Lonchura striata: one gene and its partner. The protein of the gene in region 2 purifies or fractionates together with the protein of the main gene of each other region. This does not show direct contact. Links are inferred from orthologs where the notes say so. Each region holds a gene or a part of one and is shown on either strand. Other genes may lie near its edges.

The links.
Region 1: the proteins of KLHL15 (region 2) and NUDCD3 purify together in Homo sapiens (co-immunoprecipitation; 3 studies listed by BioGRID and IntAct, with this or other methods). This does not show direct contact. The link is inferred for Lonchura striata from reciprocal best matches to the Homo sapiens genes KLHL15 and NUDCD3.

What each region holds. Positions count from the first base shown.
Region 1 is NC_134634.1:5,381,784-5,396,737, forward strand, and holds the start of NUDCD3 (nudC domain-containing protein 3), read right to left. Parts: upstream 6,055-14,954; 5' UTR 5,979-6,054; coding exon 5,787-5,978; intron 4,363-5,786; coding exon 4,070-4,362; intron 1-4,069.
Region 2 is NC_134604.1:103,846,084-103,860,893, reverse strand, and holds the start of KLHL15 (kelch-like protein 15), read left to right. Parts: upstream 1-7,861; 5' UTR 7,862-7,953; intron 7,954-8,157; exon of another isoform or gene 8,158-8,268; intron 8,269-14,810. Other genes in the region: EIF2S3 (eukaryotic translation initiation factor 2 subunit 3), read right to left, coding at 326-447, 566-693, 1,152-1,215, 3,531-3,599. UniProt on the Homo sapiens protein: Substrate-specific adapter for CUL3 E3 ubiquitin-protein ligase complex.

The DNA of each region.
Region 1 (14,954 bases), on a different chromosome or scaffold from region 2:
AGCACACATGGCTGGAGCACCTGGGAGAGACACAAGAGCTGGATGGAGAAACACATGAAGGTGAGACATTCACCATCATGCACAGGCTTCAGGACTGCCTTTCCCAGCCTCCTGCACTATCTCTTGCCCATGCATGGAGTAAGAGACGGGACTCACAGGACAGGGGGATGAGAGCTTCCCCCCCAGTTCACACTGGGAGAAAGCAAGGAGCAGAGGGAAGCCAGGAACCAAAGTCATAAAGCACAAGCACAGGCCGGGCTGCGCAGTGCCACACGTGGGCTGCCAGGCTCTATTTTAAATGCTGTGTGGCAAATATATGCAGGATGGAATCCAAGCTGGGGGAAGGGGAGGGTGCTGGGCAGCAGAGGTGTTCAAAATTAGGAGCTGAGCTCAGGCAAGGATGGCTTCTGGGAGCAGATGGGGGAAGAGCCAGAGCTGGGACTGTGCAGCTGCACCGCGAGGAAGAACAGCCCCGTGGTGAAGTGTGAGGAGGGCTGTGGCCTGCTACCCTCCTGGCAAGGCAGGGACAGCAAGATAGCTGCAACCACTGGGGAGGGACAGCTGGAACAACTGGGGCAGCTGCAAGAGGAGCCTGGCTTCTTCTGTGGCACAGAGACCTCTGTCCCCCTTGGCACAGCTCCTGGCATGAGTGTCACTCCAAAGCCACCTCCGTCCTCGGTGTGTTTAGACCAGCTGCTGCTGGGAGATCTGGCACAGCAAGATGCAGGGCAGCAAAGAGGAATTGATTCACCTGCCTTTCACAAGTGGGGAAGGTGAGGGAGTTGGAGAGACCTGGCCAAGCCCCAAATTGAGCCCTGAAAACCTCCACATCTGCAAAACTGGCTTGATTCATCTGGATCAACCCTCGAAAAGCTGCTACCATCTCACTGTGCTTTGTAAGATGTTCCCAACCAATACCCCAGCATCCGGGTGCAGCGCGAGGCTCTGATGGGAGCTGGCAGATCTGGGATGGTACCTGCCCTACATTTCCAGAGCCGTCAGGTTGACAGAATGAGCAAGTTTTTATATAGATTTTAGTGGCAGCGGTTTTCTTCACCAGCGGCTGGAGGGGCGGGGAGAAGGAAGGGGAGATGGAAAATATTTTTGTTTAAGCTCTTTTCTGCATTCCTGCTGCCAGAGTTGTGCATTACTCATGCGCCCCTCGTACTCAGGCTGGTAGCTCCGGGTTTTACTCAGAAGGAAGGGGCTGTGGAGAATTAAGCAGTTGGTTAAATTATTAATAGTCTGTCGGGGGGTGCCCGCCCGGCCCCCGCTGCCTTCCTGGGGGCTCCAGTGCCCCCCACAGGCTCGGAAACCAACTGCAGCGCCTTGACGAACCCGGGCCAAACCTGCCCCACTTCCAGCCCGCAGCCACCCCATTCCCCTGGCTGGAAACCACGAGACTCATGCGGCTGGGACGGAGCCTCCTGCACCCGGTCTCACCCACCACGTGTTTAAACTGGGCAGGCACCAAGGCGGCTGCAGCTGTTCCACCCCACCAGTGAGTTTGGGGCGGTGGGAGCAGCAAGAGAAGAGGCAGAAGAGCCCACTGGGGAGGGCAGAAGTTGCAGTGGCAGCTATATGCAGCAGAAGGCACCTTCTATTCACGGCAACACCCAGAGGACAGCTGCCATGCAGTGCTTGGTGCTCAGTGCCACAGCTGCAGGCTGCAAAACAGCATCTGAGTGTCTGAGGTTTGACAGGGGCCAAGCTCCAGCAGTGCCAGGACACAGAGGGTGGCACATGCAAGGGTTGAGTTCTAATCAGGTTCTCACCACACACAGTGGAAACCATTCCTCTCAGCTCCACCACACTCGCTGTCAGACTGATCCTGCTCCCACACGAGCCCCCCACCTTCCTTCCTGATCCCTCCAGTTTCCTTCCCGCAGCGCTGACATTTGTTTCAGGCAGCTGAACTCTCCTCACACCAGCTGCTGCCCCATAACCAAAGTCCTGAGGTGAAACTTCATGGGGCAAACCACAGCAAACGTGGCCTCCATGGGGATATGAGCAACTGGCACTCAGCCGAGCCCAGATCCCTCTGCTCACGGCTTCATGGGCCTCCAATCTCTCCCTCTCTTCTCCACTGGGAGACAGCTGGGCTGGACAGACCCAGGCCCCTGCTGTGCACTCTAGCAGGGGTTTTCTTTGACTTGCTAATTTTGCCCAGGGATCGGGGTCAGACTGGCAGCCCCACCTTTACCAAGAGAGCTCCAAGACAGGCATTGCAGATGATTTCATTTTTGGCTCCTGGCTTATCTTTACCGCGTGGGATGCACACCAGTTACACGTAAGTCCTTGCCGGTCCCCCTTCCCCCTCCCCAGTGGTGGCCAATCTAAGGCTCTTCCCCAGCACAGCCAGAGCTCAGGCTCTTCTCCAACACGGCCTCCAGCCAAGAACCTGACTCCACCGTTGTCCTAGAATAATGGAATCACGGAATATTCTGAGCTGGAAGGCACTCACGAGCATCATCAAGTCCAACTCCTGGCCTTGCACAGGGCAACCTCAACAATCCCACCATTTGCTCGAGAGCATTGTCCAAATGCTCCTTGACCTCTGGCAGCCTTGAAGCCACGACCACAGAGCCTGTTTGAGTGCCCAGCCATCTCCTGAGGAAAGAACCAAACCTCTCTGCTCCTGCCATTTATCATTTTGCTCCTCCCAAGATTTTGGTTCTCAGACTGTACCTCCCATATGCTGAGGCATACAGAATATGCCCCAAAATCTGAGCTCTGAATTCTCTCTGCCCCTCAGGGGCATCAGCCATCCCAGTCCTTACAGGATTTGGGGTTCTTTCAGTGGTCCACTTCTTTCTGGCAGCTTGCTCTTCCCAATGACACCTCCAAAACTGGCTGGGAGGACAGGGATCACCAGCTCCAGCTTCCCTCCTCACCAAGCACCAGTGGGACAGCAGGGATGAGGCGCAGCAAAGCCCCACATCTGGTCAGGACCATTGTGGTGATCGGAGAGGGTCGGCACAGCCGTCACACGGGGCCTGAGCACAGAACACACCGGGCACGGGAGGAGATGGAGCCTGCACAGCCAGCTCACAGCACCACTCCCCCAGCTTGGTCAGCAAAGAAACACGGGAGTCTGAACCTCAGTGAGGCATGAGGGCCCTGAGTAAGGGCTGGGCAGCTCTGACTTGGCTCAGGGTCAAGGTGATGCCAGGGAAGGACGAGTGAAGCCTGTACAGGACCTGCATTCAAGTACATGGCTCAGAGAGGCCACGCTGACCCTCCGCAGCTCGCATCTTGCTGCTCAGCAGAGTCAGGCTAGAAGTGTCCCAGAAGCTGTGGAAGGACTTTGACTCAATGACATTTCTGCACAAATGCAGCCTGCTTGGCACTGCTGGAAAGCCACCACGCCTAGCTAAAGAGAAAAATCAGCTTCATCTTCAAAGCTGGCCCTGCTCTGAGCCAAGGGCTGGGTCAGAGACCTCGAGAGGGCTCCAAACCCCTGTCACAGGCCAGGCCTGCCAGCACCAGCTGGCAGGTACTGCAGGTATTCATGCACACTCACAGACCAACTCGCAGGTATTCATGCATACTCACAGACCAACTCGCAGGTATCTGTGCACACTCCCAGCACCAACTTGCAGGTACTGCAGGTATCCATGCACACTCCCATACAGCTTCTGGGATGTCTCCCAGCACGCCAGGGAGTCCAGCACTCACAAAAAGGTTGCAGGCTGGTGCCAGCACTTCCTTGTGAGCCTTAGAAGTGCCAGAAAAGGAAAAATGCACACCATAACCAGTTTGTGGATGAGCTGCATGGCCCAGCCCAGCTTTGTAGGGCCATGTACAGGATATGCCACCTCCTCTGCTCAGACCAGAGTGGGAAACGCTGATCCACCCACAGGACAACAACTACTGCCCTCCTGTGGGGAGTTACACAGTGCTTCTGGCCTTGGAAGCCTGCAAGGGTAATCCTCACAGCCTCCCGAAAGGCTGAGTGCCTGCAGAGGAAGGTCAAAACCCAAAAAGAGCTGTGCAGAGAACAGAGGATGCCCTGTCCACAGTTTTGCCTCCCCCCACCAGGAGTGTGAAGAAAGTAAGAGACTCTTACGTGGGCAGCTCTGCTGGGGCAGCAGCCCCTGGAGGCTCCACTGACCCTGGGCTGGGGGCTGCAGCACCCTGGGCTGCAGCTGCTTCCTGGGTGCCTTCAGCTTCCCCAGCTTCTGGAGCTGGGATGTGCTCCGTTGTCTCCACCTCGATCTCCTGAGCTGCAGGACACAGCTTCACCCTCTCAGCGGCTGCAGCTGCCTCCTCCTCCTCCTCCTTCTTCCTCAGCTTCGCCTCCAGCTCCCGGCGCCTCTTCTCATCATCCTGCCTGGCCATCCGTTCAAACACTCGGAATGCCTGGGAGAGAAAGAGCAAACCCAGTGAGCAGCGCTCCAGCTCTGCCCAGAGAAGGGAATGAGCAGCACCACACGCCTGGGGCACCTGCTCTTTCCTCTCTGCACCACATACCTACCCCGAGCTGCTTCAGTCACCAAAACAAACAGCTGATGACTCTTTGAAAACTCCAATGGCTACATCAAGCACACCTCAGAAACTCCTGGCAGCATTTTGGAATTGTTTCTAGGATTGTATTCTCAGAGCCAACCTCACCCTAGCCTGGCAAGAGGGCTGGTTACTCCAGGGAGAAGCAGAGTGGTGAGATTCAGCCCTCGGCTGGGAGGGAGCTCCAATGAAGCCTCCCTTTCCCCACATTCCAGGGCTCACACAGGGACCACTCGCATGCCTGGTCTCAGACAGTGTCTCCAAGAGGCAAGCAGGATGAGCTGCCCCAAGAGAAGCTGCAGGACAGCTGACCTGGCACTGGCTGTGTCCAGGCAGACAGGTGCAGGAGCAGATGTGATCCAGGAGATGTAACCCTACCCCTCACCTGGCTCCCAGCCATGCCTGTCCAGTGCAGGCTGGAGGTCAGACGTGAGGCCCTTGCAGCAAGGGGTGATGGCCACTGAGACCCTGCAGCTGCCTCCTGAACGGCCTGCAAGGTCTCCCACCCCAGTGCTAGCCTTTGGCACTGTAAACACCTTCTAAAATGCCCTCCTTCGTTTCCCAGGAACATTCTGGAGGCAGATTTAGTACTTCCAGCAGCGGACTGGCACACCTGCTCGATTTGAGTCTTCCTCTGGGTCCAGGAGGTGCAGGACAAAGGACATGGCCCTGCCAGCACCATCACAACAGGACACACACTCGTGCCACTCACTCCAGCTCTCCTCCCCACGCACTGAGCAGAGGGGAGGGTGTGGGAGAGGTGAGCACCAGCCCTGCGTGGATCATGCAAAGCAGTAGCTCAGAAGTGCATCCCCCGGACTGCAGCTGGGCAAGGATGAGGAGGAATGAGCCCCTTGCACACCGTCCCCACACTCGGGGAACCTCTGGTTGCAGCCAGGAGGCCACACTAACCCCTTCCCACGGCAGGAACGCTGCATCTCCTTCACTCTGCCCATACCAAAAACTCTTCAGGGTACACCAGACACGAACCCAAGCTCGGGCCAACGTCCGAGCTGATGTCGAACCCGGCTCTTCCCACCGGGGTCTCGCAGTCCTCGCCTGCCTCGGGGGCTTCCCGTCTTCTTACGAGGGCGACGCTTTCCCCCGCTTCAAGGCACCTCTCCTGCCTTGCTCTGCGCTCCTCCGGGCAACGCCGACCCCCGCCCTGCCCGCACGAACCCCGCCGCCGGCCCGACACGAGCACCGCGCAGCCGGGAAGACACGGCCCGTTCGCTCGGCCCGCGGCAGCAAGGCCCGGCCGCGTCGCGCCCCGCTGGTACCTGCAGGGCCATGGCCTGCGCCGCGCCGGGCGGGAAGCCCAGGCGGTCCCCGGGCCGCAGGAGCAGCCGGTAGAAGTCGGTCTTGCGGTAGAGGAAGCCGAAGAGGATGCGCAGGAACTCCTCGACGTTGCCGACGTGCTGCAGGATGCCCAGCAGCGCCTGGTCGTACATGTCAGTGAGCGCGGCCTCCATGGCGGCCCGGGCCCGCTGTCACGGCAACGGGATCGGCCGCGCTTCCGGTCCGCCCGGAACCCGCCCGGCGCGCTTCTGTTCCGCCCGCCCGGCAGGCCCCTCCCGCCCGCTGCGGGTTCCGAGGCGCTCCCGGTCCCCCGGTGGCACCGCTGGGACCTCCCGCCGCCCCGAGCAGCAGCGGACGCCCGAACCCCGCGGCGCCATGTCCCCGGTGCCCCGCTGCCCGCGCTCTCCGTGTCCCCCGTGCCTCCGGCTCCCCCTCCCCTCGCCGTTCCCGGCTCTGCCCGCGCGGGGGGCGCGGCTGCAGGTGCCGCTCGGGGCCTGCAGGAGGCGCCCGAGCCCCGCCGCCGCTGCCGCTCCCGGGGCCGCTCCCGGGGCCGTGCCGGGGCCGCTCCCGGGGCCGCTCCCGGGGCCGCTCCCGGGGCCGCTCCCGGGGCCGTGCCGGGCGCTGCCCATGTCCCCCGGCCCTGTGCCAGGCACGGGGGGTGCTGGTGGCCAGGGCAGCCCTGCAGTGGTGCTCTGGGCCTGTGGGATGGGCAGCAAATCCCGCAGGAGACAGGAGAGGTGGCCCCACGGCGCTGCTTGCCCTGAGCCAAGGAATTTTCTGTGTCTCGGTGCTGTGCCAGGGAGGAGGTGCCCTAAAGAACGGCTGGCACAGCTGAACTGGCCAAGGCGTGCCCTGTGCCCAGTGTGAGGGAGTACCCGGAACAAAGGGCTCACAGGGGTTTGGGGGCTGCTGTGGCATTGGGGAGCAGTTGTAATGTGCATCACTTGTTTTCTTGGGTGTTCTCTCCCTCCTTTTTTAAAATTTGTTATTATTATTTTACTGTATTTCAATTATTAAATGTTTTTTATCTCAGCCCACAAGTTCTATTTGCTTTCCTGAGGATGCTCCTTACTCCATGAGGGGCAAAGTAAGCGAACAGCTCCATGTGCCAGCTGACAGTCCTTGTTGAGGATGATGTGGGGCACAAAGGCTTTGAGATAATCCCCAGCTCCTGACTTGACTCCTCCAGGGGAACTCCAGGAAGTGTTTGGTCCAAGTTCAGGGCAGGTCCACACCAGCAGCTGCCTGATGCCATCATGCACTTCCAGGAGCACTGGGATTTGCTCTGTAAAGTCCCAGGTGGTCTCTGCAGAGTTTACTAGAGCAGCTCTCCAGAGAACCCTGTGTGTGCTGGGCTGTGAGTTTGTGAGCCCCAACTTGGGCAACTCCCTGGGCTCCCCTGGCAGGGGAGACCCACCTGGAGCAGTTCTGTGTCAGGAGGGATGCATTGGACTTTTTTGGTTCTTCAGCTTCTGTTTACTGTTATCTTATCAAAACTTCAGCACGCTGTCTGCACCACACTCTGCATGCACAAAAAACAGCACAAAAATGGCCAACGATCTCTTGTTACAAGGCCTTTTAAGTCTAATCAAAAACTAAGCTACCCAATTAAGAAGTGACACATAAATGATTTTCCTTTCCAACCCAATAACTGAGCCCTAAAGATCCACATTTTCCAATTCAAAATGTGGATTTTTCTACCCAATTACAAGATACCACCTAAACCCAAGAAGATGAAGGAAGAGGAAGGAAGTAAAATGAACTCGAGACAACACCCTATATCCTCCATCTTGAACCCATCTATAACATATTAAAAGTCCTAAAAGCTAAGATTCTCACCCGTGTGACATACTCCACTACTCTCTACAATCTATTTCACACTTTTGTGGTTTCTGGTTAACCTTGAGGCTTTGGAAGTTTTCTCCATGAGTGAGGGTCAAAGTCAGTGCTGCCCTGGGGGTCAGGACACCCCAGAGCAGCCAGAGAAACATTCCTGGTGGAATCGTCCCGGTGCCCTGGGTTTCCACACTGGGGAAGGGCTGAATCTGGTAGCTCTGCTTGACCGGTCACCAGCAGCTGGGGAACACTTGTGCCCACCCTGGAGATGGCAGAACGTTGCTGGTAGAAGGCCCCATGAGGTCACAAAGTGCCTGTGGAGCTGCAGAGCCCAGCCCTGCAGATGCGCAGTGCAGGTCGGGCGTTGCGGGCTGCAGCAGCAGCAGCTGCATCATGGTGCAGGCACGCTGGGCCCTGACTCTCACCCTGCTCCTGGTGGCCCTGCCAGCCCGACACGCTGGGGCTGCTCCGTGGCAAGCACAGGCCATGGGTAGGTGGGCAGGCCAGGGCCAGCACGCAGCTCTGACAGATCTGAGGAGCAGCAGTGACTCGGAATTCACCAGACACTGTTTGTGACTCGGAATTCACCTGGCACTCTTTGTGACTGGCAATTCACCTGGCACTTTTTGTGACTGGCAATTCACCTGGCACTCTTTCTGAGTTGCAATTCACCTGGCACTTTTTGTGACTGGCAATTCACCTGGCACTCTTTGTGACTGGCAATTCACCTGGCACTCTTTCTCTCCCAAGCTCTGGAGCGTATGGCGGCGCAGGAGGAGGCGCTTCAGGAAGGCGGTCAGGCGGTGCCAGGCCCTGGGCAAAGCACCGGGGCCTTTCACTCAGGTGTGTGGGTCGTCGCTGTCCTTTGGCCGCTCAGCCCCGGCTGGCTGCAGGCTCTGCCCCGTGCCAAGCTGCCAGTGCCAGCAGCAGCTCTGCGGTGACTGTCACCTCTGGGCTGCAGGCTCTTGCTGTTCCTGTCCCAGGCACACACGCTCAGACACTCTGTGGATGCAACAGGATGCTCACCAGCTCTCACACTCCCTTCTCAGGGATTTCAGAACTTAGTTCTTTTGGAAATGAGGCCACCTGGGCAGCCCTCAGCAAATTATGGGAAATGTGACTCTGGATTTAATGTCCCTGCCCCAGCACCTGCATGCCAGGCCTTGCTGTGAGACCCTGGAGGCCCTGACACAACAAGGGGCGATCCCTCCTCAGAACCAGGCTCCAGAGGGGTGCACTCTCAGATCGGCATGGCTGAGGGGCACCCTACATCATCCTCCTGCAAACTCTGTGCCTGAGCCATGCTGAGCGTTTACTTTTCCCTGATCCCTGTCAGTGCTGGCCAACCCTGGGGAAGGCCCTCGTCCAGGATATAGGAATGCTTTCAAAATTATCCAGGCACGGAGCAGTCCTGCCACGGGTTGTAAGTGGGAGACAAGTCCTGAAAACTGGGGGCAGGCAAATGCTGTCCGTACTGCAGAAAAGGCAGCAAGGGAGAGGGAAGTTCAGGTATCTCCCCAGAGGGCCTGACTGTATCCCCTTGGGGGTGTGGGTGATGGGCTGGGGAGGGAGAGCTGCAGGTGGCTCACCTTGACACAGGAATGGGTTTTGTCCACCTGACTCCAAGGGCTGGCTGGTCAGACAGTTGTGCTCCCTCCAAGCTCTCTGTCCAGCCCCCGGGGTCCTGTCCGTGGGGACAGCTGTATCCTTCAGCATCAGTCTCCATCCAGGGCAGCACCTGCTGAGCCCTGAAAGGGAAAGATGGGCAAGTGCAAGAGGAGTTGTGGACAAATGTGAAGGATCCCTAGGGACAGGGAGCAAAGCCTGGGTGTGCTGTGTTCTTCCGTGAGCCTCTTCCCTGTTCTGTTGTTCTGTCAGGACCGATGGTGCTCCAGGGTATGAGAGGAGCTCCTTGTGTGGTCTGGTTGCAGCTGTGGGCACAGGCAGGGCTTTCCCAACTTCTGGGCTGGACTCTGCACTGGAACTCCCCTGGCACTTTAGGAGTCATTCGTCAGTCCTGACCGACTGCATGGCCTGAGGGCTGCTTCCAGGGTTTGCTGGGGGCAAAATGCAACTTTATTCTTTGCATCAAGGTCCAGAGTATCAAGATGAAAGGGGACAATCTTCTGTGGAGACATCCAAACTGCTACATGAAATCCTGAGGAAGCTGAGGATGATACTAGGAGGTGGGTACAGGTCACCCCTGCCCAACACAATCGGGCAGCTGAGGTTTCAGGTGCATGTAGGGGCACACCATAGCACCCCCCCCACACACACCAGACCCTCACTGAGGGACTCTCCCTGTCATGCTGAGCTGCAAGGGTGGTCCAGAGTCCGTACTGCCAGTTGTGTCTCCAGCTGAGTCCTGGGGGACTGTGTTTGCCCAGTCAGATCATCCCTGGCCAGAGCACAACAGAAATTGTGGGCGCATGGGAAGAATCCCCAGGAGCAGGGAGCAAAGGCAGACACTGGAAGAACTGGATTAAGGCTACTCCAAAGTGTAAGCAAATCTGAGAGGAGAGAGAGGGTCCAGAGAGTGGGGACTTGCAAGGCCTTTGGGAGTTCCCTTGGTTTCTACTGAAGCCGTGGAAATGTTACCACAGGATATTCCCTTGTTCAGAGCTGCTAGTGAAGTGAGAAAGAACATTTCTTGGCAATGCCAGCCCTCCAGCGAGATTGCCAGATGTGTGCAGGACATGCTAACGTGCACAATTGGTCCTCCAGGTGTGAACAGCCTGAACCTCAACAGCGCTGTCAGCAGGAGATCTGCCAGTGCTGGGAGCACCGGGGCAGAGCCGACCGCTGCGGATAGCAGGGCAGACCCAAACACGGTGCTGGGCAGGGCAAACACAGACGCTGTGGATGCTAATTCTTTCCAGAAGTTCTGCATTGAAGGCATCGTGGCGGTCCTTGGCTCAATGCTGCTGGGAATGGTGCTGTGTTGTGTGTTCCATGTGTGGAGGAAGAGGAGAAAGTGAGTTGGCGGGGCGGAGGGGAGCTGCCGAAGCAGTATTGGGTGGCATGAGGTGTTTGGAGCTCTGGGTGCCCAGTAAGTCACTGTGGTGCTGTCAGCTGGCACTCGGTGCTCTGCCCAGAGCTCCCCAGTGGTGCCCACGGCCCACGGGGTGCCCAGCACTGCTCCACACCCTCACACCCAGCCTGCCACACTTTAGCAGCTTCCTCTGTCCACAGGCACCTCGCAGGTGCCTGAGCCAGCCAGCCAGAACCCAGCAGAATATTTGGAGAATATTTGTATTTTTAAATAAAGACCAGCAGCAAAATCAATTGTGTTGTACTGGAAGCAAACTCACATGGGTGCCCACTGCAGGGCCTAGGGGTCCCCTGGGTACTGAGGGGGGTGCGGGGAGCCCCATGATGCTACTGATTCAAATTGATTCTAATTTGATTTTCACTACATGTATTATCCATGCTGTAAGCAATACAGTGACCCTGGACATGACCTTTTGTTGTGTTTTTGCAAATTCACATTAATTCCACCTGAACATGAGAAAGAACCTCTCTATGCAGGTGACCACGCACTGGAACAGGTTGCCCAGGTTGTGGATCTCACCCACTTGTGATATTCCAGGACTGTCTGGACACAATTCTGTGCAATGTGCTGCAGATGACCTTGCTTGAGGAGGGAGGTGGGACCAGATGATCCCACTGTTGTCGCTTTCAACCTTACCCACAATGTGATTCAGGTTTGTTTTCACTAATACCTTTGCCAGTGATCCACCAGCACACAGTGAGTGGAAGAGGTCTCCCATGCAGGTGAGATTGTTTCATATGCTTGGGCAGGATCTCCTGGGGAAATGCATGGCAAGGAAAGGAGCTGGATGAGTGAGCTGGGGCTGACCTTGACAGGGCTTTTTCCATCCCAGCTTACTGGAACACCAGGAAAAGGTGGGCTGCCTGTGCAGGTGTCCCTGTGGAGCTCTGCCACAGGACCCTTGTGTCTGGCTGCTGTCCAGAGTGCTTCTGGGTGCTTCCCAGCCTCCAGCAACACACAGACCCCGGAATGCTTTATTCTGTTCTATACCTTTTGTCATGACATATTAACACTCAGTGCTTCGTGCATTTATTCTGAACCTGCTTTTCTGTTGCTCCAACAAACCAAACTATTCATGAATCTGCATCGTGTAAGTTCTCATGGAACATGACCACACTTACGGTGCCCAGTTGGTGACACAGAGAGGGGCCATGTAGGCACGTGTGGCAGGGGTGAGAGCAGTGAAACAACTTTTAGGGTGAGGTTAGAAGAGAGAGATCACTCAATAGTTAAGTCATGGGCAAAACACTTGACTCAGGAAAATTAATTTTAATTTATTACCAATTAACAACCGAGTAGGACAACATGAAATAAGAGGATCAGTCAGGAGTGGAGCCCAGGTAGGCAGAGACACCAACAGCTTCGGTGCTGGGGGTTTCGGAGTGCTGGTGACACTTAAGAGGTCCAGAGTGTGCCAATGAGTGTTGGGATGCCCAGTGATGCTGCTGAACACCAGGGCACGTGCAGGGACCTGCAGGTCAAAGCCAGCACCAGGACTGGGAGTGGTGATGCCAAGCAGGTGGACTTCAGGACACACTCAGCATCCATCAAAGGCACCCAGTGCAGGAGTTACAGACTTACTGGTGTTACTGGGGCGGGGGGATGTAGTTTGTAGGTGAGACGGCTACAGGCTGGAGTGTTTCCCGGGGCGTTTCCCAGCAGCTCCCAGATGCTGCCTCACTGCTTTAAGTGCCTCCAGTGTCACAGTCCCACTGCTCAGGGGTGGGGATCACTGTAGCAGTGAAGCTGACAAAGGTCTAAGGATCCCCTCCCAGTGCTGGGATCCTGCAGTGTCCTGGGGGCATCTCGAAGGGCCTGCTCCTTCCCAGGATATCCGTGGCCCTGCGCCCCATCCATTCAGCTCTGTGATCAATGCTGCTCCCCATGTGCAAGGCTCTGTACCCTCTGCAAGGCTCACTGCCATACCCTTCCACACTTGGCCACACACCTGCACACTTTGTGCCGTGCCCCATGTCTGGTGCATCCCACACACTCAGCGCTGCACCCCACGTACCCGTTCCTTCACCCTCTATGCCCAGCACTGCTCCCCAGACCTGCCCCCACCCCTGCAGGGGTGTAGACACACCTGGATCCCTTCTCAGCTTTGGGATACAGGGTTATGGGATCTGGGGGCCCAGAACATGGATCCTAGCAGCTTCATCCAGACTCCTGCCAGTTTCTTCCTCACTTCACACACCTAGGGCAGACTGGGACACCCAGTGGTTACAGGAATGCGGAGTGGGGACAGGGGAAAGGCATGGGGTCATCCCCTGCTAATGCTTTGGCGAGCTGAGAGTGGCAAGGGGTCCCCAGGCTCCAGGTACACGTCCCTCCTTAGCCCCCAGGCCCAGCCCGGGCTGTGCTGTGGCTCTGTGCACCCAGTGCTGCACGTGGCCTGGGACACAGGGCCCATGGGGACACAGGACGGACTCTGGCCGGGTGACGCAGGGGCAGCCATGCAGCAGGGCTGGGGCACCCTGGCCACTTCCCCCCGTACCCGGTGCCATCTGCAAGCCCTTGTCACTAGCGTCCCCGTGACGCGATGGCCCGGCCGTGGCCAGCCCTCAGCCACTGACCCGTGGGGCGGCACAACCCCTGGCCAGACACCCCAGCTTCCCGTGCCGGCCAACCCCTGCCCTGGGGCTGCCCGTGGCCTCTGACCACTGAGCCGTGGTTCCTGCTGGGCAATGATCACCCCGAGATGGGAACGGGCACCGGCGCTCCCCCTGTTCAGGGCACACGCATGCCCCTCGCGTGTGATGTGCACACGCGTGCACAGATGGCTGCACACTGGAGGGGCTCACCCCTGCCTGTGTCACCCAGGCTGGACGTGCTGGGGGGACCCTGCAGTACCTCCCGGGAACCTCCTGGGATCTTGCAGGATCCCCTGACCTGCCACCACTCAGCTGGATGCTGGTGGCTGCTGGTTTCAGTCCCTACGTGTGGTTGCTGAGGCCGGTGGGAGCCCCTGGGTTGGTGCTGGTCCCAATCAGTGCAGGCACAAGGCCCATGCCTGCTGCCAGTTCAAACTGGCATGGGACTGAGGCACACTGGAGTGCCAGCCCAGCGCTCAGCAGCTCAGTGCCCGCCTGAGCTGGTGCAGCACTGTTGCTGTGCCTGGCAGAGGCTGGTCATGCTGGAGCTGAGCAGAACTGTTCCACATGTGGGCCAGACCCACACGGATCCCCACATCCATGCCAAACTGTGTCAGGCTGTGCTGGAGCCCAGCCTGAGCCCTCACACGTGCTGGGCTGTGCCCGTGCCACACTAGAGCAGAGCCCACATTGGGCCATGCCGTGCCGGTGCCAGGCCATGCCATTCTCGTGCCGGAGCCGTGCCGGTGCGGTGCGGTGCGGTGCCGGTGCGGTGCCGTCCCGGTGCGGTGCCGGTGCCGTCCCGGAGCCGTCCCGGTGCGGTGCCGGTGCGGTGCCGGTGCCGTCCCGGAGCCGTGCCGGTGCGGTGCCGGTGCGGTGCCGGTGCCGTCCCGGTGCGGTGCCGGTGCCGTCCCGGAGCCGTCCCGGTGCGGTGCCGGTGCGGTGCCGGTGCCGTCCCGGAGCCGTGCCGGTGCCGTCCCGGTGCGGTGCCGGTGCGGTGCCGGTGCCGGTGCCGTCCCGGAGCCGTCCCGGTGCGGTCCCTCCCCCGGCGCGCACGTGGTTCTCCGGCGCGCTGCCCGCGCGGGGGCGGGGCCTGGCCCGGCTCCGTGCTCGGCGTTGCCCAATGGCGGCGCGGCCCCGCCCCCTGCCCCGGCGGGCGGGCCAATGGGCAGCGAGGGCGGAGCCGGGCCGGAGGGGCCGGGGGCCGCGGTCACGTGGGGCGGAGGGCGGTGTTAAAGGCGCCGGGCGCTGCGGCCGCGGCAGTCCGGGCGGCGGGGACCGGCACCGGCGGCGGCGGGGACCGGCAGCGGCGGGGAGCGGCCCCGAGGGCGGCGGGGCCAGAGCGGCACCGCAGCTGCGGCTTCCTGGTTGGCGCGGCCGGCGCGGCCCAGCCGGTGAGCGGAGGTGACGGGCAGGCGCGCGCACACACGCATGGCGGCGGGAGGGGGCGGTGGCGCGCGCGGGAGCGGCCGTTACCGGCGGCGGGAAGGGCCGGTGCTCGCCCTGCGCGCGCTCTGCTCGTCCGGTGCTCGCCCGGTGAGTGCCTGCTCCTGCGGTGCTCAGCTCTGCCTTTCCCGCAGGATGACGAGCGGCGCAGACCATGGCGCGGCACCCGGCCCCCATCCCCTGCGACCGACGGGCCCGTAGGACGTCGCGGTCTCCCCGAG
Region 2 (14,810 bases):
AAGGTCACCCTTCCAGAAAGAATTTTAAAGATGCGTTTGTGAGTTCCACATTAGTTCTCAATCTGGCTGGTTTTAAAATGTACTTATATTAATAGCAGAAATTTAACTTCAATGTTCCGCAAGTAGCTGAGGCCAGCAGACACAGCTGGGCTCAACCATGAAATGCTCATCACCACCAATGAATTCAGTTTAGACAATGCCTTAGCCCAGGGGTGCCAGATCTAAGAATGTGCAGTCTACCAGAATCCATTCAGCTCACAGCTCAATCCTGTTTCCATACACAGGGAAGTAAATACAATTTATTCCAGCAATTTAAAGCAGTTACCTGACTAGTTTAAAGTTCCCTTTGGTGCCAGGAATATCTGTAGGGAACTCATCTGGGGTGCTACTTCCACAGGATCGGTAGCACTCTGGTCGAGAGCAGCTTGGGTCATCCAGCTTGTAAATCTGTGATTATTTAAAGTTGAAAAAAGGTTTAATTCCTCAAGGGTTAGTTACCTGTAATCTTTCATCTCCCCTGAAATATATTAGCAACATAGCTGCTATATTTACAGTGATGACTCACCTTTGCATTAGCATAACCCAGCTTGATTGTGATATTTCTTTCCAGTTCATTTTTAAATCTGACAGTATGAACTCCAGATATAGCTTTGACTACTGTTGACTTTCCATGGGCTACATGACCAATTGTACCTGTGTTTTAAAAGGAAATGTTTGTCAATAAACCACAGTTTAATTCTGTGCAAAGCTCCACTACAATCAGTACAAAATTACCCCAAATTCTTCACAGGCAGTAAGTTCATATGGCATACATATATAATTTGTAATAATTTTTATTGAAACAAACAAGACCTGAAATTGTGCTCCCAATGGACAGATCTTTGCATTTGAATGAAAGTCATTTCAATCCTTTATTTCAAGGTAAAATAAATTTTGCTTTAGCAACTATTCCCCATACCATTCAACTGTGCTCCTAAAATAAAACTGGTGCTTTATAAATCAAAAGCGCTTGACAAGTCCCTAAAACTACTATGTTTTGTTTCTGTACATATTTCTTGAAAGTATTACCACACAGGCACCATCTGCTACTGCACCAGCATCAAAAAGAGACACCTTAACACGCCCCTCTTTTTCATAAGGTTTTTTTTTACCTATATTAATTGTTGCTTGTCTGCTGATGACTTCTGGTGAAAGTGGCGTCAACTTGGTAACATCCTGTATAAGGGAGATTTTTAAATTTATTCATCTTGTATATAAATGTTTAGCAAGTTAAAAATTTAGAAACTTGAAGGTCAACTGATAGTTCTATTCAGCAAAATCCAGTTATACTATGTGCATTCCAGTCTTTTAAAAGTGTGAAATCCATGTGAAAAGTGATCCAAGTCTTGCTTGTGAATCAATACAGGCTACAATTCAAAATCCTGACTGTGAAACAGTCTTGTCTGCAAAGTGTTAAAGATGGGAGTAAACAAAACAAGAAACCTCAAAAGAAAATTTTAACAAAAGACCCCAATCCCCTACATACCCCTGAACCTAAATTACACATAACAGGCAAATTCATTTTCAACAGTCTACATGATGAACTGCACTAATATTTTATAAACAAAGCTTTGTCAATAAACAGTTGTTTAATTGGTTCCATTAAGCCAATCCATAATTACAACTAGGAGTCAGTGGGTCCAGAGGTTTCATTAGCACCATGGCTTTTTTTTCTTTTTAATGGTTATTTTTTCCCTCGGGTACTGTTATTGCTGCTTTAGGTACCAGACAAAAATTCTGCTGTCCTAAGTAGTCTGTTGTGTGAACTTATTGGTAGCCACCGGCAAAACAAAAACCTCACAAATAAACTCTGTATAGATAAAGAAACAACTCTGAAAGAGTTGCTTAGGTTTTTTCAAAGCTGTTTGTCCAAATAATGGACAACTGCTGAAATCCACTGAAATGTTCTGTAAAGCTAATATCCATCCTGCATCGAATTCACATGGATGAGCTACTCAGTTCAAGCAGAGACATGATGTCAGAAGAGTCCTCAGTGCAGGACAAAATTTAAGATATAAATAATACAAACATTAAATCACATATTGTTTACACTGTTACATGAAAGTTCTGTGCAAAATGATCAAACACATCTGTGTAAAAACATAAGCTCAGTCATTCTGCTCTCAAGTATGACATTAATAAAATGTTCATCTTCAATACAAAGCAAGTTTTGAACATCTAAGACACACAACTAAATTTATATTTCTCATATATGGAACTTAAAATGACTTCCCAGCGATGGGAACGTGACCTGCAGATGGCACCATGTAGCCGGGCGACCAGAATTTCAGCGTGATGCAATTCCTGCCACCAGGAGAATTCTTCCTGGTGCATGAAATCGTGCACGCGTGCAGTTTTTTCCTCAAGACTGGTACAAGGGTATTGCTCAGCAAGAAGCTTCACTCAGCCGTAAGCACTCAAGGGCCGCCAGAATAAGCCTTTAAAGGTAATTCCTGCTGACCTTCCAGCTAGTCTCTATCTGTGCCTTTCCCAACTAGGAAATGCCATGGTCAACAATGACAGGAAGAAAAGAAACCATCTGAAATAACTAACACACTGCCGTAGGGAATTCCTGTGCTCAAGCCCAAAGAACATAAAATATTATTACTGTTAAGACAAATAAGTTGTTCCAGTTTAAACACAGGAGACACAGCAACAGGATTTTTGACTATGTACATTACAATACACTTGAATTAGAAATATACATTACATATACATTTAGACTAGCATATAAGTGTAATAGGTGAGGCAGCTCAGGTGAGACATTTAACAGGCAAGGCTGCCACAGCAGGTGACCACTGCAACTGGTTGAAGTGGTAGCTGCAGTGGTAGGTAGATCTGGTATTTCTCGGCAGTTTTTAATAGTCAAGAAAGTTGTCTTGGCAAACCAAGACAGGGCTAATAGACAACTCCTAGAACTTGCTGTAGAGAAACGGCTCAAATTTATGGTTCTATCTCAGAAAGGGAAAAATCTTTAATACGACAGAACAGGGCAACTCTTACTCGAGGAAAACTGCACCCACCAGTGAGCCATAAAAGCTTCAGCGGCGCCGGCGGGACACGGAGCCGCGGAGCCTTATGCTCACCGGGAGGAGAAGCACCTCGCCCGGGCGCCCCACACCCGCCAGGACCGGCGGGACCTGCTCTGCGCGCCGCCGCTCTGCCCTCGACCCGCGGCCCCTGCCCTCGGCCGCCGCTCTGCCCTCGACCCGCGTCCCCCTGCCCTCGACCCGCGTCCCCCTGCCCTCGGCCCGCGTCCCCCTGCCCTCGCCGCGGCCCCTGCTGCCCAGCGTGCTGAGCTCGGCTCCCCGGGCGCCGCCGCCTCCCGCGCCCCCTCGGCACGCATCGGCAGCGGTGGGGCCCGGCAGAAGGCTCCCAGCTCCTGGGGCCGCACCCCTCGCCCACACGCCCGCCCCCTCCGCTCCCGGGGCGCCCCCGCCGAGCTCCGGGAGCCCGATCTCGCTGCTGGGCGCCCCACGAGCGGCGCTCACCAAGGTGCCGAGATCCTGCCGGCTGAGGTGCGGCTGCCCCAGAGTCACTCCCGCCTCGTCCCCCGCCATCTTGCCCCGAGTAGGAAGTGAGGAGCCCACGCGGCCGCCTGACTGCCGGCTCCTCTCCGCACAGCCGCTGCCGGCCCGCAACCTCCGGCCCACAGCGCGGCACCGGCCGGCCCGGGAGCGGACACCGAGCTCAAGGAAAAGCCGCGATCAGCGCCGGGGGGCCGCCATCTGCCCCGCAGCGGAGCGGCCACGAGTCAGGCGCACCAACGGGCAGCCCTGTAAAGGACCCCCCAGCACGGTCGCCATCACGCCGGATGATGCAACCGGGGCCTGCGGCGGGGCCTCGCAGCGTGCGCGCGCACGGCGCGGGAGCGCGGGCACGGCGCGGCGGCGGGAGCGCGGCGGGACGGGCGCCGCGCAAACCCCGCCGGAGCGGAGCGAAACAGCGCCGTGCCTGCGGGGAGGGCTCGCTGAAAGACACACCGAAGGCAGGAGCCCCTGCCGTGCTCGGGGTTTGTTGCTGTGCGGATTTATTTGGGGTGCCCGGGGGTGCGGTGCAGAAGGCACGATATCTGTGTATGCACTGAAATGAGCGCATCGACCGCGGTGCCTGCTTCAACAGTAACAGGTCACCGCACGTGTGTCAGAACCTCTGCTGGCCATCGCCGTGAGGAGATCTTTCTTATTTTAGCTTTTTTCTTGTTACTGTCTTTGTAGACTGGGCGCTTATTGTTAGGGAAGGCATGTGGATGTGAGAGTTGCCCCAACATACCTAAATGTTTTGTACGAAACAGGTAAAAATCCCACCAAACACTTGCTGTTCCCAGAGTTGGGTATGACATAAATTGAATAAAATCCCTAATCCAGTGATGAGAGCCAGTTTAGAGGTTCACCAGAGAGTAAAGGTTAAATTTCCCTGTTCTTCATGGGAACCTCTTAAAGGCATAGAAGATGTTGCTGATAGTATTTCCTCCCTGGTCAGGGAAGCAGGTTTCAATGCAGGTAACCAGTTATCTCAAATATGTGTGCGTTGTGCCAACAACAGCAGCTTTATCTGTTGGAATACACATTTGTTCTCAGACTCTGCCTGGCTTTGCAGGTCAAAAAAAGCAGGTTTGGGGCAGGCAACCATGTGACTGAAATGTGATGATGGAAATCCGTGTGAAACTGGTATGCCTGGTTGAACAATGGTTGTAACCTCCCACTTTCACCTATGATATTATTTCCATACTTTCCTGATACAAGATCTAGGAGTGAGTTCTGATGGGTATTTGTAGAGCAAACACATTGCCACAATGTTCTTGATCTGAAGAAATTAACAGGAGCACATTGTAAGAAACCTTTCAGTATCTATGATGGTATTGCCAATGACAAAATGTATTTTGTCTTGCAACCCAGTCGTGTTGGACAATGGTCTGGAAAATAAATTTTCATAATCTTGTTTCAGGCCACACGGTGTTTTCAATTTTGTATTAAATATCTCACTTCTGGGAAAAACCACTGAAATACATGAGGTGTAGTGAGAACATGATGCAATACTTGGTTGTAGTTGCCTCGATGTTCACACATGTATAATCCCTCTTTTATGAAAATGAACTGAAAGTGCTGGACTCTGTAGTTACTTAGCTGCTTAAATTATGCAATAAATGCAGTGCAGTGTGTGTAAAATTATGGAAATAGTTTTTGTCACATTTGAAACAGCCTTTAAAAAGGACTCAATCCTTGTCAAACACCCTGTCAGGAATATGAAAAAAACTACGCAAACTGTTGCTTCTATTTTAACATTGAGATTGTACATTTTACATATTCTGAGGTTCTCTTGCTATTTTGATTCACTTATTTGGAAATGTTTGTAATATAAAGAAAAGCAGAAAAGTCTAAAGTCTGTAAATGTCTAATTATTGTAGGATCCTAGAATGGTTTATGTTGTAAGGGACCTCAAAGATCATCGAGTTCAAATCTTCCTGCCATGGGCAGAAACATCTTTCACTATCCCAGGCTGCTCAGAGCCCCGTCCAGCCTGGCCTTGAACACTTCCAGGGATGGGGCAACCACAGCTTCTCTGAGTAACCTGTGCCAGTGCTTCACCCTCACAGTAAAGAGTTTCTTCCTAGCACCTAATCTAAATCTGCCCTCTTTCAGTTTAAAGCCATTCTGCCTTGTTCTGTTACTCCATGCCCTTGTGAAAAGTCCATTTTCTAGCCTTTTGGGCCCCCTTTAAGCACTGAATGCTTCTATAAGGTTTACTCAGAGCTTTCTCTTCTCCAGGCTGAACAACCCCAACTAAAATAGGTAAGAACATTTCTAGGAGTTGACATTATGTCATATGTCAATATATGTGTATTGGACATTTATGTATTAATTAAATAAAGTTTAAAAATATTAGAATTAGATCCTAAGTAGCATATTAATATAGCTCAAAAAAACTACATCCAGAATTCTCTTCATCGCAATAGTCTTATTTAAGCTAGTGGTAACTGTTTAGCCACTGACTTTGTACAAATGCCTAAATCAGAGGGGTCAACCCAAATCTCAAATTAATATTCAGTAAGGTAATTTTGAGACTAGTGGTCATTGTCAGAGGCCTAAATGTAATTATTTAATTTTTTTAGGAGACTAGAATTGAGACATTATTAACATATTTGATTTTTTGGTAGAAGCAAATTGTTCAATGTGAAGGAGAAGGGTATGAGAGGGTTTTTTTGTGCTTTGAAATGTTGAGCTGTTTTAAATGTCAAAGCTGCTATGGTTTTGTTTTGTGGCTAGGTTTGAGGTCCTCTTCTGTGATTCTGTGACAAGTGTGTAGGAGAGACCTGAAGACCATCTTGCACCTCAGCTTGACACAAACTGCAGACAGCAAAATGACAGTCAGGTAAAACATAAAAGTCTTGCTTAGCTTTTTCTGCCCTTGCTGACCCATGAAGGTGAAAAGTCTGAGGGGTGCAGAAGTATGCATGAAGTTTTGGTTGTATCATTTCTGTATATGAGAAACTTAGTTCCTACTCATTTTTCTTTGTTGAAGCATTAGATATGGGTGGGTACATGTTTGCTGCAGCAGATATCCATTATGGAAAAGGGAGGGAATGTCTTGGAGACATAGGTGGCAGGAACACCTGCTGTCTCGGCAGGGTCAGTCTGTAAAGGCCAGTTTTTTCACCATAAACACACAAGTAACAGGTTTTAAAACAGTGACTGGGGAGATTGGGTAAATTTACTGCATGAGTGAATGAGACGGAGTAGTAAGGCAAAGCCGAGAGAGGTCTGGCCATTGTGATGAAGGAGTGAATGGGAACTTGATCGTAGCAGAGGGAGCAGTAGGTAGGCAGTTGAGGGGAGTGGGAATAGCATTGGGAAGTCTTTTGTAAGGCACCACATGGAGTAGCTGATTCATTTCTTGAAGCTGTGAAAGGTGGGAAAGGCATTCAGCTTGGGGGTAGCAGGTATAGAGAAGGTACTCTTGTTTTATAAATCAAGAATGGGGGGGGGGTGATAATGAGAGACTGAAAATAGGATGGGAACAGCAGTAAACAGGGAGAGGATGCCAGCCTGTGGCCTGCTATTTATATGGTTTGGGGGTGGTAGTGGCAAACCAAAGGTCCACGTAGGTTAGTTCATCTCGTACAATGAAATCTGAGTTTGCCAGGCAAAGGCAAAATAGCGAAAGCTAAGGAGTACTGTTTGTACTAAGGCAGAGCCCTGCTCACCCCCTCGGGGCCGTGCTCCCTGTGTGCAGTTTGTTCGCTGCTCCAGCGCTGCCGGCCCTGACCCCTGCGGCTCTGGTGACCCGGTTCCCACGGCGGCTCGCAAAGCCGCCTGCGGGAGCGGAGAGCTGGCATCAGCCCGCGGGAGCGGCTGGCCGCTGTCCGGGGAGGAGCGCAGCCGGCAGCCGGCCCCGAGCGGCGATTGCTGTACCCGGGGCGGGATGCAGCGCTGCAGCGGGCAGCTGCCATAGCAACCTGGGAGCTGCCATCGCCTCGGAGAGCTCGGCCGCAGCCTGGAGGCAGCGGGGCGGGCGAGAGCAGCGCAAGACCGACCCTCTGAAAGCGGACGCGTGTGGATGCGCGTCCTCGCGGGCCGGACGCAGATGATGCCTCTCGGTGTCGCGTTCTCCAGCCGTGCTCCCCGGGACGTGCCGGGGCTCCGGCGCCTGGCCGAGCCCGCACGGGCCGGAGCCGGGGTGCCGGTGCTGGTGCCGGTGCCGGGGTGCCGGTGCCGGGGTGCCGGTGCCGGGGTGCCGGTGCCGGAGCCGGGGTGCCGGAGCCGGGGTGCCGGTGCCGGGGTGCCGGTGCCGGGGTGCCGGAGCCGTTCCTCGCCCCGGGCCCGCCCGCGCGGCCGCAGGTGCGGCGGAAGTGACGGCCGGCGCGGTGCTGCCGGGGGAACATGGCGCCCGCGGCCGCGCGGGGCAGCGCGGAAGGTAAACAAGCGTGAGGGCGGCGGGGACCCCGGGGCCGAAGCCGGGCCGGGCGCGCCGGTGCCCGGGCGGCGCGGCGGGGGCGGCTCCCACCGCCCCCCCCGAGCGCGGACGGCGGGGAGGAGGGAGCCCAGGATCCCCCCTTCTTCCTCCGCCTCCTTCTCCTCCTCCTCCCGGCTTCGCCTCAGCCATTGCCCCTCTCCGCAGCCCCCCGGCGCCTCCCTCCGCCGCCCCCGGCTGTATGGTACACGGAGCCAGGGCCCCTCTCCGCCGCTCCAGCGGGAGGAGCCGCGTCCTCAGCGCCGCCGCCGCCGAGAGGTGGGTGAAGGATCCCGCGGGCCCTCCCGCCGCCGTCGCTCGCCCCATCGAGGGCGGCCCGGGCGCCCTCCGGGCCCTCGGGGTCTCTCCTCCCCGGGGCGGCGGGCGGGGAGCAGGCGGGCTGGCGCGGGATCGGGCACGGCCGCGCCGGGCGGGGCGGGGCGGCCGCAGCCCCGCCGGGCCCCTCGGGCTCCCGCGGCCGCACGTCGCGGAGCCGGCCCGCCAGCCCCGCTCGCCGGGGAGCTCAGCCTGCGAGCGTGCGAGCCGGCAGGCTGAAGTAGGTCATCTGAGTTCCTGCCCCGAAAATGGCCATTTTTACCCGCCCCCCTCCCCCATCGTACCTGATCGCGGCAAAAGTATCCGTGATCTGAACGGGTAGAGCTACCCAGATGATACTAGAGCTTTGATGTGTTTGGTGAATACTGGAATGTCACTTAAAAATTTGAACTCCTTGCCTTTTCATTGTTTGGGGTTTGGGTTTTTCTATTCTAATTTAGAAAATAAATAGGAGAATTATAAAGTTATTACTAGATAAAAGGACAGAACTACTGAAGTCTGGCTTCCTGTGGACTTGTTATATAAACTTGTCTGTAGAATAACCCAGCTCTTGCACCACCATTGCCCCAGTTCACATTCAGATCCCCTGAGAATACCACCATGCACAACACATACTTCCTGTGTTTTCCCTTCCATCACCTAGAAAACGTGTTTAATTTCTACCACATGTCCTATAAACTTTCCACTGACACTCATCTCCTTTCACTTTCCTTAATTATACCCTGTGGCTGGTTTGGATCTACACATGTGTTGATTTGCCTTTCAGTGAGCAGAGCACAGCAGATAACCATTGAGCTCACACTAGAGATATCAGACCTTTTTCATTCATCTAGCTGCCAGTCTGGGGGATATGTGTAGAAATAAAATAGGTTTGAGATTTCTGTGTTTCTGACAAGTGAGTTTGGTATTTGGTAGTAAGGTCAAAACCTGTGTGTCTTGAACAAAGGGCACAATTAATGTCATTTTCTCAGAAGATGCTAGGAGTACATACTAAATTAGCAATAAAGATACATATAACAAAAAGACAAATGGAGGGCATAGTTTAGCAATCCTAATTTAAATTTAAAATATTTTTACTAACATAGTTTGAATACTACTTCTTACTCCTTTCTATCTTATTACGCTAAAAATTTATGATAAGTCAGAAAAGATAGGATTTTTTGTTACTAACAGATACTTAGCTTGCTACTTTTCTGTATAAAATACACTACAATTTTCTTAATAAAAATCTTCACAGTGACAGAATCAGCCTTTATTCATACCTTTTTCTTACATTCGAAATCGTTACTCATTCTATAAGACAGATATATATATATGTATGTGTATATATATGTAAGAAGGACTGCTGTCATTCAGGATAGAGCAGTCCTGTCCACTTTGAGAGCAATGGCAAATCTGTACTTTTCAACACTACTATAATTTAACTTTTAGTAATATCTAAAAGTTAAATACAAGTATTTCCACTTAAAAGGTAATTCTCATTTTGGTGGATATATCAACTGTTTTATACAGTGCACCTGTTCTGGCAGAGCGTTGAGCTGAGCTTGCTCTGTGTTTGGGAGCAGGTTTTTCTGTGCACGCGTTGGGATGCAGTGACTTCTTAGACAGGTGGTTCAAGCCATCTTAGTGTCTGTGAAGTGCAGTTACAGGTTCTGGCACACGTAGAGTGAAGAGTAACCATGCTGAGCTGAGGCACAATCCATGCTGAGTTTTAGCAGGTTTGGTTGTAACTGGTTCTGGTATTTTTGACATGGCTGTAATGACCATAATGACACCAAGTGCCGCTGCTGCTCTGTGCTAATTCAGATTGTTCCCAGATAGCAACAGGAGCAGAGATTGTCGAGGGAGCTGTTCTGGTCAGCTCTGTGTCCCTAAGAAATGGAGTCTGGGCAGCTTTCAGGATTAGCCAAATTTTAAGTTCTGGCAGTCTGGTTCCTCTGACTGGTGGTGATTGGTAAGCTCCTAACTTCTCCATTCTCAAGTAATCCAGTGCTTTTGAAATTCTCAAGATGGATTGGATGAAGTCTTAAACATGAACATAAGAATGGGTTGAAGATAAATGGTTTCCCAAATTTAGTGTCCTAATTACAAAGGATTTCAGATAAAACACATGGAAAGTGGATGTATTTCTTTGTTCCCTACGTTGCAATTGTTGTAGCAATAGAAAGTTTTGATAGCCACTGGTTATTGATCTATCCCACATGATATCACTCCTTCTGTTGCTGTTAGTGGAGGATTATGATAAAAAATTGACAAAATTTAATGGTTTTAGTTTTAAACCATGTAAACAAAGGTTTAATTCGGGGGATAAATTATTTATGCTGTGTATGTTATAATTGTACTGTTACTCAGTACATTGCATTCAAAGGCCCAGCCTTTGGCCATATGTGCAGTTGTGAATGTGTGCTAGTGTGTTCAAATACTTGTATTTTCATATGTGTGTATAACATTTGACTATGGAGAAATGTCCTTATTAACAAAACTAGGCTCAAAATATTCTGCTCTAGGCAGCCTTTCCTTTGCACCTGATCAAATAAAGTGTGCATGATGGCTTTAAAAATTACATTTAAATGCATGCATTTGGTGGATGGAAGAGATTATTTTGTTTAAAGCTCTATTTTAGTACATTGTGTAACCAAAGCATGGTTCTGTGTGTCTATTGAAATATCTTTATAGTGTAACTCATAGATAATAGTGTTTTATTATGTGAAAATTTGTTGTTCAGCTTGTCCACAAAGATGATTTCTTAGAATATCTATGGGATAGGTAAAATGAACAAGTACTCCATAATTAGTAAACAAAACAAATCTTGCTCATTCTATCTCAGCATCCCAGATAAATTACTAAGGAACAACAGTAAAGGAAGTCTGAAATTTCGCTTTGAGATCGTGTGGTAGACCTGGTATTGTCAATACTTTCCTAGGACAATAAATTTCTATCCCTAGAAAATGCATATAAGCTTACATATGACATAAAGACACATATTGAAAAGGCTCTTTTTCAGGTAGTACTGGTCTTGGAGAGATTTTAAATCCAGGAGGGCTTGAGTCAAAAGCATTTATTCTGTGACTTGTTTCTCAATAACCAGTGCATTTAGACTCCATTTCTTCTGCTTGTGACTAAGAGCCTCAGACACCCTGAGGAAAGAAGGTTCTCCTTGTTTAGCAAGAAAAAGCAGTCTAGAGTAGGATTTTCAGACTTTCATTACAGCTGCAGAATAAAAATGAGAAATCAGTGTTCCAAGTAAGTGGTTTTACAGTTAGAGCACTGTAGAATCTAATGCATTATGTGCTTAAAGAGGAAAAAATGTAAGGAGCAGCTAATAAGGTTAAATGTATTTCTCTTTTGGCTTTTCAGCAGAGTCTTCCTGTGCTGCATTATCCTGATCAGCTCTAATACGTGCAGAACAGTAACGAATGTCAATGTACATTGCCCCCCACCTCCCCTTCATTGTTTATACATTGGATTTTTTTTGTTCCAGTTTTCCTGTAGACCACTGCAGGCTTCATGTCTTCCATTGGATTAAGTGTGCAGCTGTGATTTGCATGCATGAAGAAGATCGAACTGAATTTTCCATTTTTATTGAAAATATGGAAAAAAATGTTATGTATTGTCCTCTGGGAAATAACTGCAGCATTTGAATAGTGCTTAGAATTACATCAAAGATTGCAAGTATGTGTGTGGGAGGAATGGCATAGCTATGCTTTAGAAAAATTACTTGGTTTGAGAGTTATTTTGTATTGCTTTTTTTAATGTTTGAACTACCACATTGCTATTTGCTTTTGACAGAGGATGTTAGCTTTAGAAATGAAGATTTTTGCCAGTTAAGCATAATACGCATTTAATTATCTACTTTCACAGTTTTTGTACTATTTTAACCCCTTTGTTTATTTGTACTGGCAATACATTTTTTTGTTTTAAAGAAAAACTTATCTGCTGATAATGTACATGGCTTTATGCCAAGAAAAGGATATTTACTCCTTTTATTTAATGCAGGAAGACAAGTAGTCCTTTTGCTTTTCACTCATGGAATTCTGAAGCTTCTTTAGATGGTGTAGGGAGAAGTCTTACTGGTTTTGTGTCTAAGTAATCCATTAAATGCTCACTGCTGTTCAGGAGGAAAAATACGTTAATGTTGAAAACTGTCGATTTACTAAAAGTAATGTCAGCAGGAATGTGAAAAGAAGGATTAAGTGATTTAAACACCTACATTTTTAAAACATTCAGAAATAATAATTTCAAAGTGTTGACTCCTTTCGTACTGTTACGGAGATTTGTGGCTGACTTGGTGGTTTAAATATTTTTTATGGAATAGCTAGTTGTAAGGAGATGTAAAAATTGGAACTCTAAAGGGTACCTAAATACAGGTAGGTTTCATTTCTCAGTATTTCAGTGATTGCTGCCTTGTCAGATTTAAAATTCAAAGGATAATAATATATATTTATTTTTTGGTGTTTGTATATTTGTCTTATTTCTATTTAATCAGAATTAAAAAGAAGGTTGCAAAAAAACCCCTACATGGTTGCAGTGTCTGTGCAACAGCAACACAATCACAGATTCACAGACGAGTTGAGGTTATAAAGGACCTCTGAAGGTCATCTGTGCCACCTGCAGGGCCACCTAGAGCCAGTTGCCCAGGACTCTTTGGTGATGGTTTGGTTGAGGGTTTTTTGTGTTGTGTTGTGTTTGTTTTGCATTTGGAGTTTTTGTTTGATTGTGTTGAGTATTATTTACTTGTTTTCCTCCTTAAAAGCAATACTGGAGGTGCATATACCATGTCTCCACTTCACTTCCAGCTTTTCCTTTCTGCTTCTTCGAGGGTAGTAAAAGAGGCCTTTCTTTTAGGGCCATCTTGTGTACAAGTTAATTTTTCTCCTTTTATTTGAGGAGTACCCATAATGTAATTACCTTTGTCAAGGTAAGGGCAAGGATCCTGCTGTGTGTTTGGAGCTTGCTGCTGTGGTTTTTCAGTGCTGTTAGGTACACAGTAATGCACATAATCTTTTGAAGAACTCCCTTCAGTAGTATTACCTGTGTGATGGGAGATCCCACTATTTCCAGATGAATATATAATTGCTTCTGTCAGTTGGGGAATGTTGCTTAATTTTTTACTTTTTCTCCCCTGATACATTGTTGTGTTATTCTGTTCTCACTTTCACATTTTCAAATTCCAACTGTCCTTTCCTATATTTAACCCTGATCATGGAACTGATGCTGAGCCAAGTCTTAGTTGGTCTCCTAAAGCTCTGTAATTTACACAGTAGTACTGTCTGAGAGTCCTTGTAACACTGAGTCTCTTGGCTGATTCCAGACAGCAGTGAGTTAAGTCGCTGTATGTTCTATGAAAATGAGTGGCCCATTTAAAGGCAAGTGATCATTAAATAGTTTGAACAGGAAGGACTAAGGTATGAGTTCAGCTATTATTAAATATCAGAGAACAGGGGATGGGAGGAAAGGAATTCCAGTGCTCTGATGAAAAAAGGAAGTAAGCTAATACTGGTCCTTACCTTTTTATTTGATACCAGAAATCCAGTTAGAAAACAAAATCCTGTGACGTCAGACCTTATGCTTCCTCTTCAGTTGGGTGCTTCTTTTTGAGGTAATAAGAATTAGTGAAGTGGTTCTTTCCTCATCTGCTTTTGTGTAAGAGCTGGCAACAGCTAAGAAAATTACCTGATGGTAATTTTTCTTTCTGGTAGGCATTTGATGTTGAGGAGTAAGAGACTCACAAAGGGAGGTTCCAGAGCAGTTTGCATGTTTCTCTTTGTCTTCAGTGACACTGAAGGGAAGGTGCTGCATTGGATACTGGTGAGAAAGTGATTGGACTGTCATCTTGGTTCTTTGCTCCTGCTCTTACTTTCAGGAATTTGAATTCTGTGAGAAAGCCTTAATTGTAAGGAGCACTCCCAGCATTGGCTTTATCATGCACAGAGCCTGTCATCAGGCTTCAGCAGTGTGGGAGTGGTGCTAATCCCACGAGGTGTGGCTACACCCATTCACCAGTTTAGTTTTGCACAAAGGGTATGTCCAGTTGGTTTTCCAGGATGTGTGCTGAGGAGTGAAGGAGAGGAGATGATTAAGCATTGATGAGTCTAATAAAATGCATTCCTGTTACAATGGCAGCAGCCAGAATGTGGTGCTTGAAGAAGTGGGGGTAAGTGGTAACTGCTCTCTGATGCTGTGAAATATAGGCCAGCCTAGAGTCACTTCTGGGTCCATGTACTTATGTGAAATTTTATGACCTTGAGGATGTACAGGTTTTCTAATGTGTTGGTATTATTTAGATTAGTACCAAAACATTATTAGCTTTATTTATTATAAAAAATTCAGAGTTAAATGTAACAAATATCTGAGGGAAGGTTGAAGTGTAATTTAAGGTGGGATGAAGTGGAACAAAAGTAGCTGATGCAATTCTAATAGTAAGTGAATGCCAAATAGGGAAGTTGTTGCTCTTTGTCTCTCTTCCTGCACAAGTATATGTCCTG